Linked DNA regions of Coturnix japonica. The protein of the gene in region 1 interacts with the protein of each later gene in a pairwise test. Links are inferred from orthologs where the notes say so. Each region holds a gene or a part of one and is shown on either strand. Other genes may lie near its edges.

What was found.
Region 2: the proteins of LNX2 (region 1) and MYLIP interact in binary tests that used the Homo sapiens proteins (3 or more experiments, as listed by UniProt). The link is inferred for Coturnix japonica from reciprocal best matches to the Homo sapiens genes LNX2 and MYLIP.
Region 3: the proteins of LNX2 (region 1) and C6H10orf88 interact in binary tests that used the Homo sapiens proteins (3 or more experiments, as listed by UniProt). The link is inferred for Coturnix japonica from reciprocal best matches to the Homo sapiens genes LNX2 and C10orf88.

The regions. Positions count from the first base shown.
Region 1 is NC_029516.1:157,558,925-157,562,965, reverse strand, and holds the start of LNX2 (ligand of Numb protein X 2), read right to left. Parts: upstream 2,845-4,041; 5' UTR 2,722-2,844; intron 1-2,721. Other genes in the region: protein POLR1D, read left to right, coding at 3,166-3,191.
Region 2 is NC_029517.1:67,510,845-67,515,082, reverse strand, and holds the start of MYLIP (E3 ubiquitin-protein ligase MYLIP), read left to right. Parts: upstream 1-1,415; 5' UTR 1,416-1,566; coding exon 1,567-1,653; intron 1,654-2,264; coding exon 2,265-2,455; intron 2,456-4,238. UniProt on the Homo sapiens protein: E3 ubiquitin-protein ligase that mediates ubiquitination and subsequent proteasomal degradation of myosin regulatory light chain (MRLC), LDLR, VLDLR and LRP8. Activity depends on E2 enzymes of the UBE2D family.
Region 3 is NC_029521.1:27,968,757-27,973,034, reverse strand, and holds the start of C6H10orf88 (ATPase PAAT), read left to right. Parts: upstream 1-1,455; coding exon 1,456-1,592; intron 1,593-1,706; coding exon 1,707-1,907; intron 1,908-2,118; coding exon 2,119-2,191; intron 2,192-2,906; coding exon 2,907-3,113; intron 3,114-3,712; coding exon 3,713-4,176; intron 4,177-4,278. Other genes in the region: disintegrin and metalloproteinase domain-containing protein 9-like, read right to left, coding at 249-462. UniProt on the Homo sapiens protein: ATPase that regulates mitochondrial ABC transporters ABCB7, ABCB8/MITOSUR and ABCB10. Regulates mitochondrial ferric concentration and heme biosynthesis and plays a role in the maintenance of mitochondrial homeostasis and cell survival.

The DNA.
Region 1 (4,041 bases):
CTAGTTTTAGGATAACCCAAGAAAGATCCTACCTACAAGCTAGTAATAAGAAAGGAACAGCTTACTCCTCACTCCCAGGGCCTCATCCAACCTGGCCTTGACCACCACTAAGGGATGGGCTGATTAAAACATAGAGCTTAGAGATCAAAAGGGGCAGACATCCAGGCAAGCCTGCGCCACCACAACAACCTGATGGACACAGCAGCTGCTGGCAGCACATCAGAGCATCCTGGTCCAGCCCAACCTGCACCCACAGAGCAGGCAGCATCTCTCGTTGCCAAGCCAGGAGCCAACAGCCACTTGTACTGTTACATGCAAAAGAGAGCGCGGTCAGTATGAAAACACATGACAGGTTTAGCCTATGAACTTTGTGAATATAAATCCTGACCCTGAAAACGTTTACATGCAGGCTTAGCGCTAAGCCTAAGAACAGGCCCACTAATTCCAAAAGAAATACTTGGATGCTTAGAATTAAACATATGTAAGTACACAGATCTGTAGAATTGGGGACAGAAAAAAGCACACACCACAATTTGATGGGTTTTTATTGCTCTGTGGATACCACAGTGTAGCAAGTACATCATTCATGATATTTACAAGAATTTTCATCTGCAACATGCCCTGCAGCTCCTCAGCAAACGCCACTGACCTAATAAAACAATTAAGAACCACAAGACTTGACGGTGCCATGTTAAGTTGTTTCTGCAGACCAAACCAACTGAGAATTTTCCAGTCCCGGAGACAGGCCACAGCTGCATCTGATCAGTCACCAGGCGCCTCTTACACCAGGGAGCATCTTAGCACAGCACGAGTGCTGCTTTCTTACCCATTGCAGACCATAATATCTCACGGCTTTTTAAGCAAGCAGCATCGGGCTGATTTATGACACCAATTTGTATTAATCCAATATCTAATATATATCATACGCTTAAACACTTCACTTTTAAAGTGATATCACTGGTTACCACATCTCCTTAACAGTAGCTTTCAGCTACATCAAGCCATTCATTTTAAGAGCACAGGAAAAAGTGAGATTTTAAAAAGAGGGGGGATATTTTCCAGTGTTATAGCTGGAAGCCAACAAACCTCTACTGCTTTCAGTGAGACAAGCGCACAAACAGACCCCCAGTTTGAGGCTCAGAGGCCACGCAGTGCGGGTAAAGGCTCATGGCAATGCCAGGTTTTACTGAGGTCACCAAGGCTCCTGTGAGAGCAAATGCCCAATGTACACAAAAACCAGCAGTATCAAAGCCAGCATTTATGCGTAATAGGTTTTCATAGGCTTCATTTTTAAATGAACCTCACTGTCTCAAGAGAGCAGAACTTTTCACCCAGGAAGCTGCGGGCATTTCTCTTGCAAAGTCCACTGTTAAGCTGCAGCTTAATATTAAATGATGCTTTGGTTAATGAAAGATGTAAGCCTGCCTTAGGCAATAATGTTGATTTAACCATTGTAGACCCAAGTCCAAGGCCCTGGATTATCTCTTGCTGAAGTCACAGACCAGAACTAGAAGCCAGGACAGTTACAAGTTCATTATAGAAAGCTCTCATTAAAGAAAAAAATGTGCATTTTATAGGCACTTATTCCAAGATTTTAGAATTTCAATAATACAAGCACTTAAAAGCATGATATTTTTCTTTAATATAAAGAACTTCAAAAGCCAACAAAACCTTAGTTGAGCACAACTGCAATCCTTACAATTCCCTGCATTTGGAGTCAACCATATAGAACTGGCTTCAGGAAAGAGGGGATTCCTCACTTTAGAAGTCAATGCAAGAAGGTCCCAGTCGGTTTTGTTGTTCCCAAAGGTGTGCTCACAAACCTTGTCTCTGGAGGGATGGTAATGAAGTCACGGCAGCATATGGCACCGCCGTGTTTGCTCCCAAGTGCACAGCCGCTAACCGGAGCCATCTGATGCTCCCCCTAAGCTCCCTGATCTGCGGTGGGATTGAAGCTTACAGCAAAGCTTCGTGGAGCCCAAAGGAAGACAATGGTTTGCAGACACACAGAAATCACTCATTTACTTTAACGGGGGCCCAGCTCGGATCTGGGTCTCTGCTGAGCAAAAGCTCTGATGCGTTTACGAGCAGGAGTGCATTTCCAGAGAGCATCAAACACGACCCAAAGCCGATCCGTGTCATTTTCCCGTCGCACACAGAGAGCAACGAGATCACGTAATTAAAATAGGAATTAAACGAAGCTCGGGCGTACTTAATGGTGGATTCCTACAGCAGGAAACAACCAACGCCCCGCACCGGGAGCGTGGTCACAGGAGCCCCATGGGGCCGAGCAGCCTGTCAGTGCCATAGCACTCCCTACCCGCTCGGCTGAGCACCAACACACAGCGAGGAGCAGTAACACGGCACGCCTCGGGAAAGTTCACAAGGCGCCGCACTGCAAGTTTTCCAACCGCACCTTCGGTTTAAACGAGAGGGGAGAGAAAAGAGCAGCCTGGCATCGATGTGTGCGCTCCGGCGCTGCCCACAACTCTCCCTGCCCTCCGCCCTCCCCAGGCAGCGGTAACGCGACTCCGGAGTCACGGCTCCAGCACAACTCCCCGAAGCGGCCCGGCGCTGCTCTCCCCCTCCCGCACTTGTTGCGGCCCCGCAGGCCCCGCCGCAGGCCCGGCCCTGTCCCGGGGGAGGCCCCCGCCCCGCGGAGCGCAACGAGGGGCCGGGCCGCCCCCAGGGGACCGAGCGCGTTGCGGGGCACGGACTTACCACGGCGGCACCCGGCTCCTCACGGCGGCAGCCGAACTCCGGGCGGCCACTCGGCGCGGCGCCTCCCTCCCCACCGCCCGGCCCCGCTCCCCGCCTCCCCCGGGGCAGCGTAAGTGACGCCGCGCTCCGCCACTCCGGCGGCAGCCCCGGGGCGCGGGGCCGGGCGCGGGGCCGGCTCAGCCTATGGCGGAGCGGCCGAGGCGGGACGCACCGCAGCCCCGGGCCGGGAGGGACCCTCCGCCCTACGGAGCGCAACCCGGGGCGGGGCGGGGCGGGGCGGGGCGGGGTGGGCAGCGCTGCCGCCAGGGCTCCATCCCCGCCCCGCCCGGCACCGCCCCCTCCCCGCCGGATCCGGAGCTGCGCCTGCTCGCTCCGCCTCGAGGAGCTGGGCTGAGAGCGGCTATGGCGTCTGTGTCAGCGTGAGGAGCCGGGCTGTAGTCTGCCATGGAGGAGGATCTGGAGTTGGAGAGGTGAGGGGCGGCCGTACTGTGCTGCGGGTTCTCCTTCGCTCTGGGCTGCGCTTGTAGGGCCAGTGAGGCCTTGGGGCTGGTCCTGTGTCGGCTCCCGGCCTGTAGGGCCTGGCTTGTGCGGCCTGTGCTCGGCCCTGAGCCCTCAGCCCATTGCTACGCATCTCTGCGTAATGCGGACCGCTCTTGTAATGTCATTTATACGCGAGAGATTTAAAAGTCGTATAAATGGGTGGTTAAAGTTATTTGGTTAACGCGTAGAGGCTGAACTTTTTGCAAGCAGCTGCATGGAACTGTTACAGCGAAGTGATGGCTGAGAATCTCATGGTTCCGTCTCATAACTTTTAAGAAATGTGTTTGAGAGTGCTGATGGGAAGGCCTGCTAAAAAGGACCTGGGGGTACTGCTGGATCACAGGCTAAACATGAGCAGCAATGTGCCCTGGCAATCTAGAAGGCCAACCTGTGCTGCATCCAAAGCAACATGGCCAGCTGGCCAAGGGAGTGATCCTGCCCCTCTGCTCTGTGCTGGTGAGGTCTCACCTGAAGTACTGGAGAGACATGGAGCTGTTGGAGCACATCCAGAGGAGGGCCACAGAATGACCCAGGGGATGGAATGCCTTCCTACAAGGACAGGCTGAGAGAGCTGGGGCTGTTCAGCCTGGAGAAGAGAAGGCTCCAGGATGACCTGAGAATGGCCTTTCAGTATGTGAAGGGGGTCTATAAGAAAGAAGGGGACAGATGCTTTAACAGAGTCTGTTGCAGTAGGACAGGGGGATATGGTTTCAAAGCAAGAGAGTGGAGACATAGATTGGATGTAAGGAAGAAGTTCCTTTACAATCATTGTGGTGAGGC
Region 2 (4,238 bases), on another chromosome or scaffold:
AACTACGCTACTGGACTCCTCATGAGATTGAGCATCCAGGCAACAGCCTGGAGGCAACTTCCTTGTGAGAGAAACAAGGAGAGATATTAGACTTTATTGGTAACAAGAGCAAATACTGCTGTGTAAGGCTCTAAGTTCAAAGGTCTGGAACTTATCTTTTCCACACAATTGCTTTCTCACAGGCTGTCCATAGAAATGACAGACAAGGAGGCACTACAAACAGTACCTACTGTGTGAAATAGGGTGTGACCAAAAAAGAACCTTGTACAGGGATTACACCTGGGCAATTTATACACAACTCACTACTGTAGTGAAAGATTGATCCATCCTGGAGGCATTGCTATGGTGCAGCACTAAGTATGTCATGACGTATGGCACCAAGGTGGCATGCTGTTGAGCAATGCTCTTCTACCATACTCCATAGTTGAGCATGCATCTGTCAGTGTGCCTCTATGAGTGGTACTGACCCACCAAAGAGCCTAAGTGGGACTGAAAGAGGCTTTGGGCTTTTCATTCAGGCAGAGCCCAACAGACTGCAAAGCACTCTCAATGCCGGAGCTCTCCCTTGTATGTTAGTATAGGACACGGTTCTTTCCTGTCTCCTTGCAGCATGAATAAAACATCACAGAGGGCCTGCAGAAAAGAACGCATTTCTGTGACAGCAGCATCCTGCTGCCACGCTTGAAAATGCTTGTTTTGCACAGGGCTTAACCAACTTATGCGATCTAGTGCTACAAGCTATTTTGGTGGCTTTAGGCTTAGATTTCAAAGCAGGATAGTGCTCCTACAGACATAATAAGAACACCTTCATCTGCGTTAGGTTAGACAAGAAGAAAACACAGGAGGTATGCTGATGTATGCAGAAAATGAGGCCTCTAGGAGGGGAGCCAGACCTATACAGAAAACAAGGAGAGCCAGTTTGTGGTGCATGAGTGGCATGGATGCGTAAGGAATGCCTGTTATCTGTAAGCTGGCCATCACTGTTTGGTGCTGGGTAAAACCAACATCCTGTTACCAGGATTTCTTCGCCTTCCTGCTGCATCTGTGCAAGAAAACAGAAATAAAACAAACTTTTCCTGCCCCCACTCCAAAATAAACTAAGAAACAAGTGGAAAAGGCAAAATATTCGGTGATTTGTGTTGGTGGCTCATCTCCCTGTCATAAATTCCCTTCAAAGGAACTGTTTTTTCCCAAACCCAACCTGCTCTTCCCCCATCCTCATCCCGTCCTTCCTCACCACACCCCCAGGCCGGCAGGGGGCGCCCCACAGCCCCCCCACATCAACCGCAGCCGTTCTCCAGAAGACGGCTGCTCTGATTGGCGGCCGAGCGGCCCGCAGCGGAGAGCGGAGCCCCGCGATTGGTCCGCAGGTGCCGCGCAGGGGGGAGGCAGAGGGTATATAAGGAGGGAGCGGCGGCAGCGGAGCGTGGATAGTGGTTGCGTTGTGTTGGTGTGCGGGTGTGGGCGGCGGGAGGCGCAGCCCGCAAGCACAGCGCCCTTCCCCGTCAGTGCCGGCGTTGGCAGCCGTTCGGTGCGGTGCAGTGGCAGCTCTGGCCGACCCCAGCCATGCTGTGTTATGTGACCAGGCCGGACGCGGTGGTGATGGAGGTGGAGGTAGAGGCGAAAGCCAACGGCGAGGACTGCCTCAACCAGGTGAGGGGCGTCCCCAGTGGGGCGGGTGGCGGTCTCCCCCCCCCCCCCAACCCATTATTTTCTCCCTTTTCCCCCCCCCCCCCCCTTCCATGTTGGATGCGGGTTGCCCGCATCCCTCTCCTCGCCGCTCTCCGGCCCGGCGCTGGTTATCGCCTTTCTCCTTCACTTGTTTGGGAAGGGCGGGCCAACAAGGGGGTGAGAGGGGGGCTGGGGAGGCCTCGGCCTCGCTGCTGCGGCCCCATCTCAACCTCCCCCCATACCCCCCGAGGGATGGGGGGGGCACGGGAGGACCCGTCGGGCCGCTGCGAGGCCGCCCGGGTGGGGCCCGCGGTAGCTGGGGCTGCGGGAAGAGCCGCCCCGTCTGTGCGTGGTGTCTGGGTGAAGCTGAGCCTGTCCCCCCCGGGGGGTCATAAAGTCCGTGTTGTTGTCGGCTAGTGGGGACGTTGCCAGCTTGTTTACGTAGCGCTTTGCACGCCGCTCTTTGGAAATCTGCTCGTATAAAGATGCTTGCAAACAGGGTTTCTCTCTCGTTTCAAGCTGCTCACACTTGAGCCGGGGTATCTTTGTCTAATCGTGTCGTTCGTGCCTTATAAACGACCTCTTTCTTTCAGGTTTGCAGAAGGTTGGGGATCATAGAAGTCGATTATTTCGGACTGCAGTTCACTGGCAGCAAAGGGGAGAATCTATGGCTGAATCTGAGGAACAGGATTTCCCAGCAGATGGATGGTTTAGCTCCTTATCGGTTTAAATTAAGAGTCAAGTTCTTTGTAGAGCCGCATCTTATCTTACAAGAACAGACAAGGTAAGGTAAAGAAGGCTGTAAGCAAAGCTAATTTTGTTCTCAGTTTTGTTAACTTGTGAAAACGATTATGTGGAGGCTCTATTTCTTCCGTCTTCTGATATTCCCTGTTAAACTCAGTTTAAATCCACTATTTAGACGTGTTATTCACTTTCTAGAAAGAAAAAGTAATGGTGTGAGTAGCTAGCAGTAATGTATGTAGTTAATTCCATGAGAAACTGGTGCTGGAAGAAGCTGAGCTAACAGTAACAACTTATTTAGATGGCAAATGTGTGTCCGATAGTAACCCCAGCTCAGTGGTGTTACTGTAGGTCGTTCTAAGGCAGGAAACAATTCCTCCCACAGAGCAAAAACTTGCTGAATTCCTTTTTGTCTGGTATCATGTTACAGTAACTTTCAAACAGCTACAGGCCCTGTGAGGCTACAAAAGAAACAGCTGTTGGGCTTCTGTAGCCTGTCCTAGTAACTAAATTGTTTGCTACCCAGCCTTAAGGTTTGGACTGCTAAGATTAGTGAGGCGTGCTTGCTTTCACTCCTTGAGTTTGATTACTGCCTTACTGCTTGATCTCCAATTGCTTTCTCTTTAAGGAAAGCTGGGTACTAAGTTTAATACTGATTTCTCAACTAATGTTTTTTGTTTTAGGTAGTAAATGGGGCAGATGGAAATCTAGTGTCTGGCTGGTAGTGCCAAAATGTCTTCATTTAGTAGAATGAGTTAGTTAGGTACTGGAATAGGCTCCCCAGGGAGGTGGTTGAATCGCCATCCCTGGTTGTGTTTAAGAGCCGTTTGGATGTGGTGCTCAGGAATACAATTTAGTGTAGGGTTTTTAGAGTTAAGGTTCTGGTTAGGCTACAGTTGGACTTGATGATCTTCAAGGTCTTTTCCAACCTGGGTAATTCTATGATTATCCACTTTTACTTTGTACTATCAGAATTAAGACCACAGACATGACGCCCTTGTTCTGCACAGCATGTTTGTGTAATTAATTTGGTCATAAACTGGCTCTTGATTTGGTGTGTATTTCATAGGAAGGGACGTCTTGAGTTTTTCCTTCCCTAATGTATAGGGGTGAGGCTTTGGGGAGTGGTTATTGCCCAATCTGTTTGAAGTTGAATGCTATTTGTATGACTTTATCTGGCATAATAGATTCAGTTGGGCAAATATAGTCCAACAAATCCAGGATGTCTTTGGGCTCTTACTGAATACTTTTCTTCAAAATGCATATAAGTAAAGAAAGGAGGAAATAAAGGATTTTTATGTAGAACCAAAGAAGCAACAGGGTCTCATTCCTGATGAGGCAGATGAAATTGCTGTGTATGTTGTTGGATGCAGCTCCTCACTCAGGCAAAGCCATTGTGAATCTGAGGAAACAAAGTGCAACTGTGATTGGTGTTTTGCTGTTGCTGCTGAGAGCTTGTTCTGCTTTATATGGCTCTTGCAGACACCTGTCTTCTTACCTTCAACACCATCAGTGCAAGTCTTGGCAGGTTGTGTAAGCTACTAACAGAGCTTGAAGTGGTGAAACACACCCCAAGGGCCTAAAAGGCAGGTTTTGTAGCTAGACTGCAAAATAACTTGTATGTACATACATCAAAGTCATGAGTGTGTTCCACTATAAAGATGACTTTAAGAGGTTGCAGGTGGGATGAGTTCTCTTTTATGTGTGAATTAAGGCTGTTTGAAAGTATTTTAACAAACACGTCTAACACTGAGACTCAGTCAATGAGAGCTCTATTAAAATGAGGCCATGGTGAAAATGAATTGATGATTTGGAGAGAAACTGCT
Region 3 (4,278 bases), on another chromosome or scaffold:
ATGTTTTTATACACCTACTATGTCATAGGAGAAAAAAAAAAACCAATCACAAAGAGCTATAGGCTATCAGAAGCTTCAAACTGCAGGGTTTTCCCTAAGCCAGAGCTTCTTGGATATATCTGCTAACAGCCTAATGCCTAAGGAGAGCTGTGCCTTGGTTTGAAAGGTCTGCGTGTTGCTGGTACTTGGAGAGTACAAGAATTCCTGGATAAACTTGCTGAATACGTAACAGAAACAAAAAATCTTACCTTTCATCCAATGAGAGTTTCCAGTTAAATATAGTCCCAAAGCAAAGAAAAGCAGGCCGTGCTTTAGCATGACTAGATTCCCTGCAGACACCTGGCTCTCAGCTGCTCCACACGGAACTAGAAGAATGAGGAACAGTCTGCTCTGAAGGTAAACAACAGAAAAGGCTCTCGGATACTTCATCTCTGCTAAGGAAACCGGGAAGTAAAAGTTCATCCATTAGGCTTGCAAGAAAACTGGTTAAGCAGCTTAAGGCAAACAAAAAGCAGCGCTCTGAAATGCTGATTGGAGGCAGACAGCCACATCATGCCAGAACCGAGCTGGTTCCTTCTGAAGGACTTTGACTGTAACCACATAACAGAGGTTATGTGAGACTCAAAGTGTCAGGTCTTGCTAGCTGTGATATTTGAGACATTTATGTGCTCTCTGGAATTCCAGCTACTTGTTTTCTATTAGTTTATCTTAGAAATACTTAAATTGCAGTGCGTACCAACACAGCTACATCTAACACAGGGATTTCAGCCACACCCCCCCTGCATTAAGGATAATTCTCCTCACCAAAAGCCTGTGATTTTGAAGGCTTCATCGCTCTTCCAGGATCAGAATAACCTTCCAAAGCACCAAGCAACAACATCAGCATCAAGATTAGGAAGGAAATGAATGCTCCTAAAGCTGAGTGAACACACAACGCATTTCAGAAGCACTGAGCAGCCTTAGAAACCCAAACAGGAGACCCAGGCAACACAGCATTCACACTTAAGACATTTACATGAAGTAATTAATTTTAATGAATTGTAAATTAAAGCAGAGCGAAGCCGTTTCTCCTAGTGCTGGTCAGTAGCATGAAATAACGGCTCAAGTGCAAAAATAAAACAAAAGTCAGAGATATTAGCAGTCGTGTTGTACTGAATAAGGACAATGCAAATCCATCTTCCTATTCCACAGCCCTAATTCACCTCCCTCAGCCCACAAGAACTCGATATCCGAGCTCCCTAGACTCGTATCCACACCAAAACGTAAAGAGACTCCATAAGCCTGGATCCTACTGCAAATTAAACGAGCTCAATCTTTAATTCATGCTCTGCTCTCTACGTGTCACACTATTAACATGCCATAAGCACAACAAGGCGATACAAAACTCCATCAACTCCTGAAGCACTGAGGAGAGCTCAAGCCCGCCCCGCGCATGCGCATTGCCCCGGCCTGGTGATGGCGAGCGGCGGCGCTCTGGGCCTTGCGCCTGCCCTGCATGGCGTGACCGTGGGCTGCTCGTGGCCCTGCGAGCCGCCCGACGGCCTGACCCGGGCTCTATGTGTGCGGAGCGGGGCGGGCTGCGATGAAACGAGGTGAGGGAGGACGAGGAGGAGGTAGCAGAAGCCCTGCGGCCGAGGGGCGGCGGAGGGCCGGGGTGGGGAGGCGGCCTGGAGAGGCAACGCGGCTCTCCCCGCTTCCCTCCTCAGCTGTGAGGCCGTGGTGGTGGTGGAGCGGCGGGATGGCGGCGGGGGTACGCCGTGTGTGCTGCAGCTGGAGTGCCGGAACGGAGCACAGCGGGTGGAGAAGGTCGGTGTGGTGAGCGAGGCCCGGCACATGGAGGTGTACGTGGGAGAGGAGTACTGCGGGACCGGCCGTGGGATGAGCGCTGGAGGCATGCAGCCCCCGGGGTGAGTGAGGAAACACAGCTGGGAGCTGATGGATTTTATTTGTTTTTAATTGGTTGTGAGGCACGTCTGCTTAATGAGTTAAATGAAAACTGTCATTTGCAGCTGTGCTGACCCGTGCTGTGCACACACACAAGGAATCACAACATTAAAACTGCCGCACTGCCCTAAGAAATACGTGTGGTGTCACAGATTGCTCCTTTTGTTTTTGCAGTGAAACTGAAAGTGTGAGTTTATACGAAAAGTATCTGAAATTGGAATGCCCGGCGACCTCTTGTAGGATTAAGGTAGGGAGTTTGGTGGAAATCTATCACTTCTCGTTGTCTTTTCCCGTCCTTGGAGGTGTTCAAGACCAGGTTGGATGGGGCCCTGGGCAACCTGATCTATGGGGTCTCTATGGGGATCTATGGGGTCTCCTGGGCAACCTGATGTAGTAAAGGTGTATGTTCGGTGGCCCTGCCAGGCAGGGGGGTTGGAACTACATGATCCTTGAGGTCCCTTCCAACCCAGGTCATTCTGTGTGATATTCAATCATTTGATTGGCTAAATTGCATTACCCTTCCCCCAATTACTGTTATTTCTATACCATAATCACATTACCACTTAAGACTGTTGTATGGCCTTTATAGCTCTCTTAATTTTCTATCTATGAAGTCACATATGAGAAAGTTGTTACCTCATACAGAAATGCCTTCATAAACCAAATACATTATAGGCAATCTGCAGTTGTAATATAATCAGAACTACTAACTACACTGTGAATGTGTACACTGGTAATGGGAACCCCGTGATGCAGATAAATAAGCTTAGGAAAACCTATACAGCTATTGCTGTATTTAAGTACTAATTGATGCTTTGATCATGCAAGTAACTTCTGTTGAGTCAGAATTCTGACCAAGAGAAAGAAATCAACTTGAATTCCTAACGTATTCATGCAAAGAAACCATTGAATTGTGTTTTTTTCCTTCCTAACCAAGATACCTTTTTTCCTTCTTGCAATAGCTGCTCTCCATTGGTGAGAAACAAAGGGTACTCATCAGTAAGATAATTGTACAAGTGAATACAGTTTCAGCAAAACTAGCAACTGATTTTCCTTCACTAGGATCAAGCATAGATCTAGACAGAGTGCAAACTATAATGGACTCTATGGGATCCAAGTTGTCTCCAGGTGCTCAGCAACTCATGGACATGGTTCGATATCAGCAGAAAGTAAGTTACTGTGCTGCTCCATAGACATCAATAGCGCTGTTCTGTGACTTTGCCTCCTGTGACAGTTAAGCACCTTCTAAGCTGATTCAGTGGAAAAAGTTCTGGTTGTTTTTGGCTTTCCTGTTGCTGCTCTTAAATGCTGCAGTGAATTAAGAACTCAAGGAGTCACATAAAGATCAGAGTTAAGAGCGTTGCATCATTGTCATCATTTTCATCTCCACTGTCGCCCTGTTGTCCGCTTGTCCATTTCACTTGTCACTTCTTGTGATTTCTTCATTGGTGGACATGTTTCTTGTTGCGCTTGGGGTGTAAGTAGATGGATGAGTTTGACTTTGTTGTTATTAAATGCATGACATGAAGTAAGTGAAGTTGTTTTGTTACTCAGAGCAACAAGGTAACAAGCACAGCACATGCAAGGAAAGTTTTTCTATGCTTTGCCCTATGAATATAATTCACAGCTACTTTTTAAGTCATTATATCATGCTAGTAGAATGCTCTAATCACTTGGAGTTAAACTTGTAGCCTGGGTGCTGTTACAGCACAACCTTCAGTATATTTTAGCACTTAATGTTTAAATGTACCTTTCTTCTTCCCATCAGAACAGTTTACCTCTTGGAGACAAACTTAGTTGGATGTTTGGGAAGAACTCAGACTTTGGAAACAAGCATCCGGTAGATGGATTACATGGTGCAGCCATTCAGACATCACTACATCAATCAGTCACTGAATCTTCATCAGTCAGAAGTCCTTTAACAAGTGAAACAGGATGTGAAAACTTAAATCTTGATCTGAAAGCACAGGTTCCTGAAGGAGAGGATGTTTCTAACTCTAAAGAACTTAATACACAGCAGAATACAGCTGACCTCAGAAATTATTTCAAAGCTATGGGGTCTTTGCTTATGCAGGAGCAAACAGATGGAATGCGGAACGTAGCTGCCCCACAGATGCTCCTTCCTTTTCTTCAGAACTTATGCAGTCAAGTTAATCATCTTCGGCTAAAAGACAGTGAAAGGCATCTCGATAAAAGCGTGGTGACTAAAGAAGAGGGCATTCAAACTGTTGGGTAAGTTAACTTAACTAGCAGCTTGTGCGTATTAGCAAGTCTAAATGAGTACACAAGCATTTTATTCTCACTGTTTGTACCAACAGTGCAGCTAGTTTGATA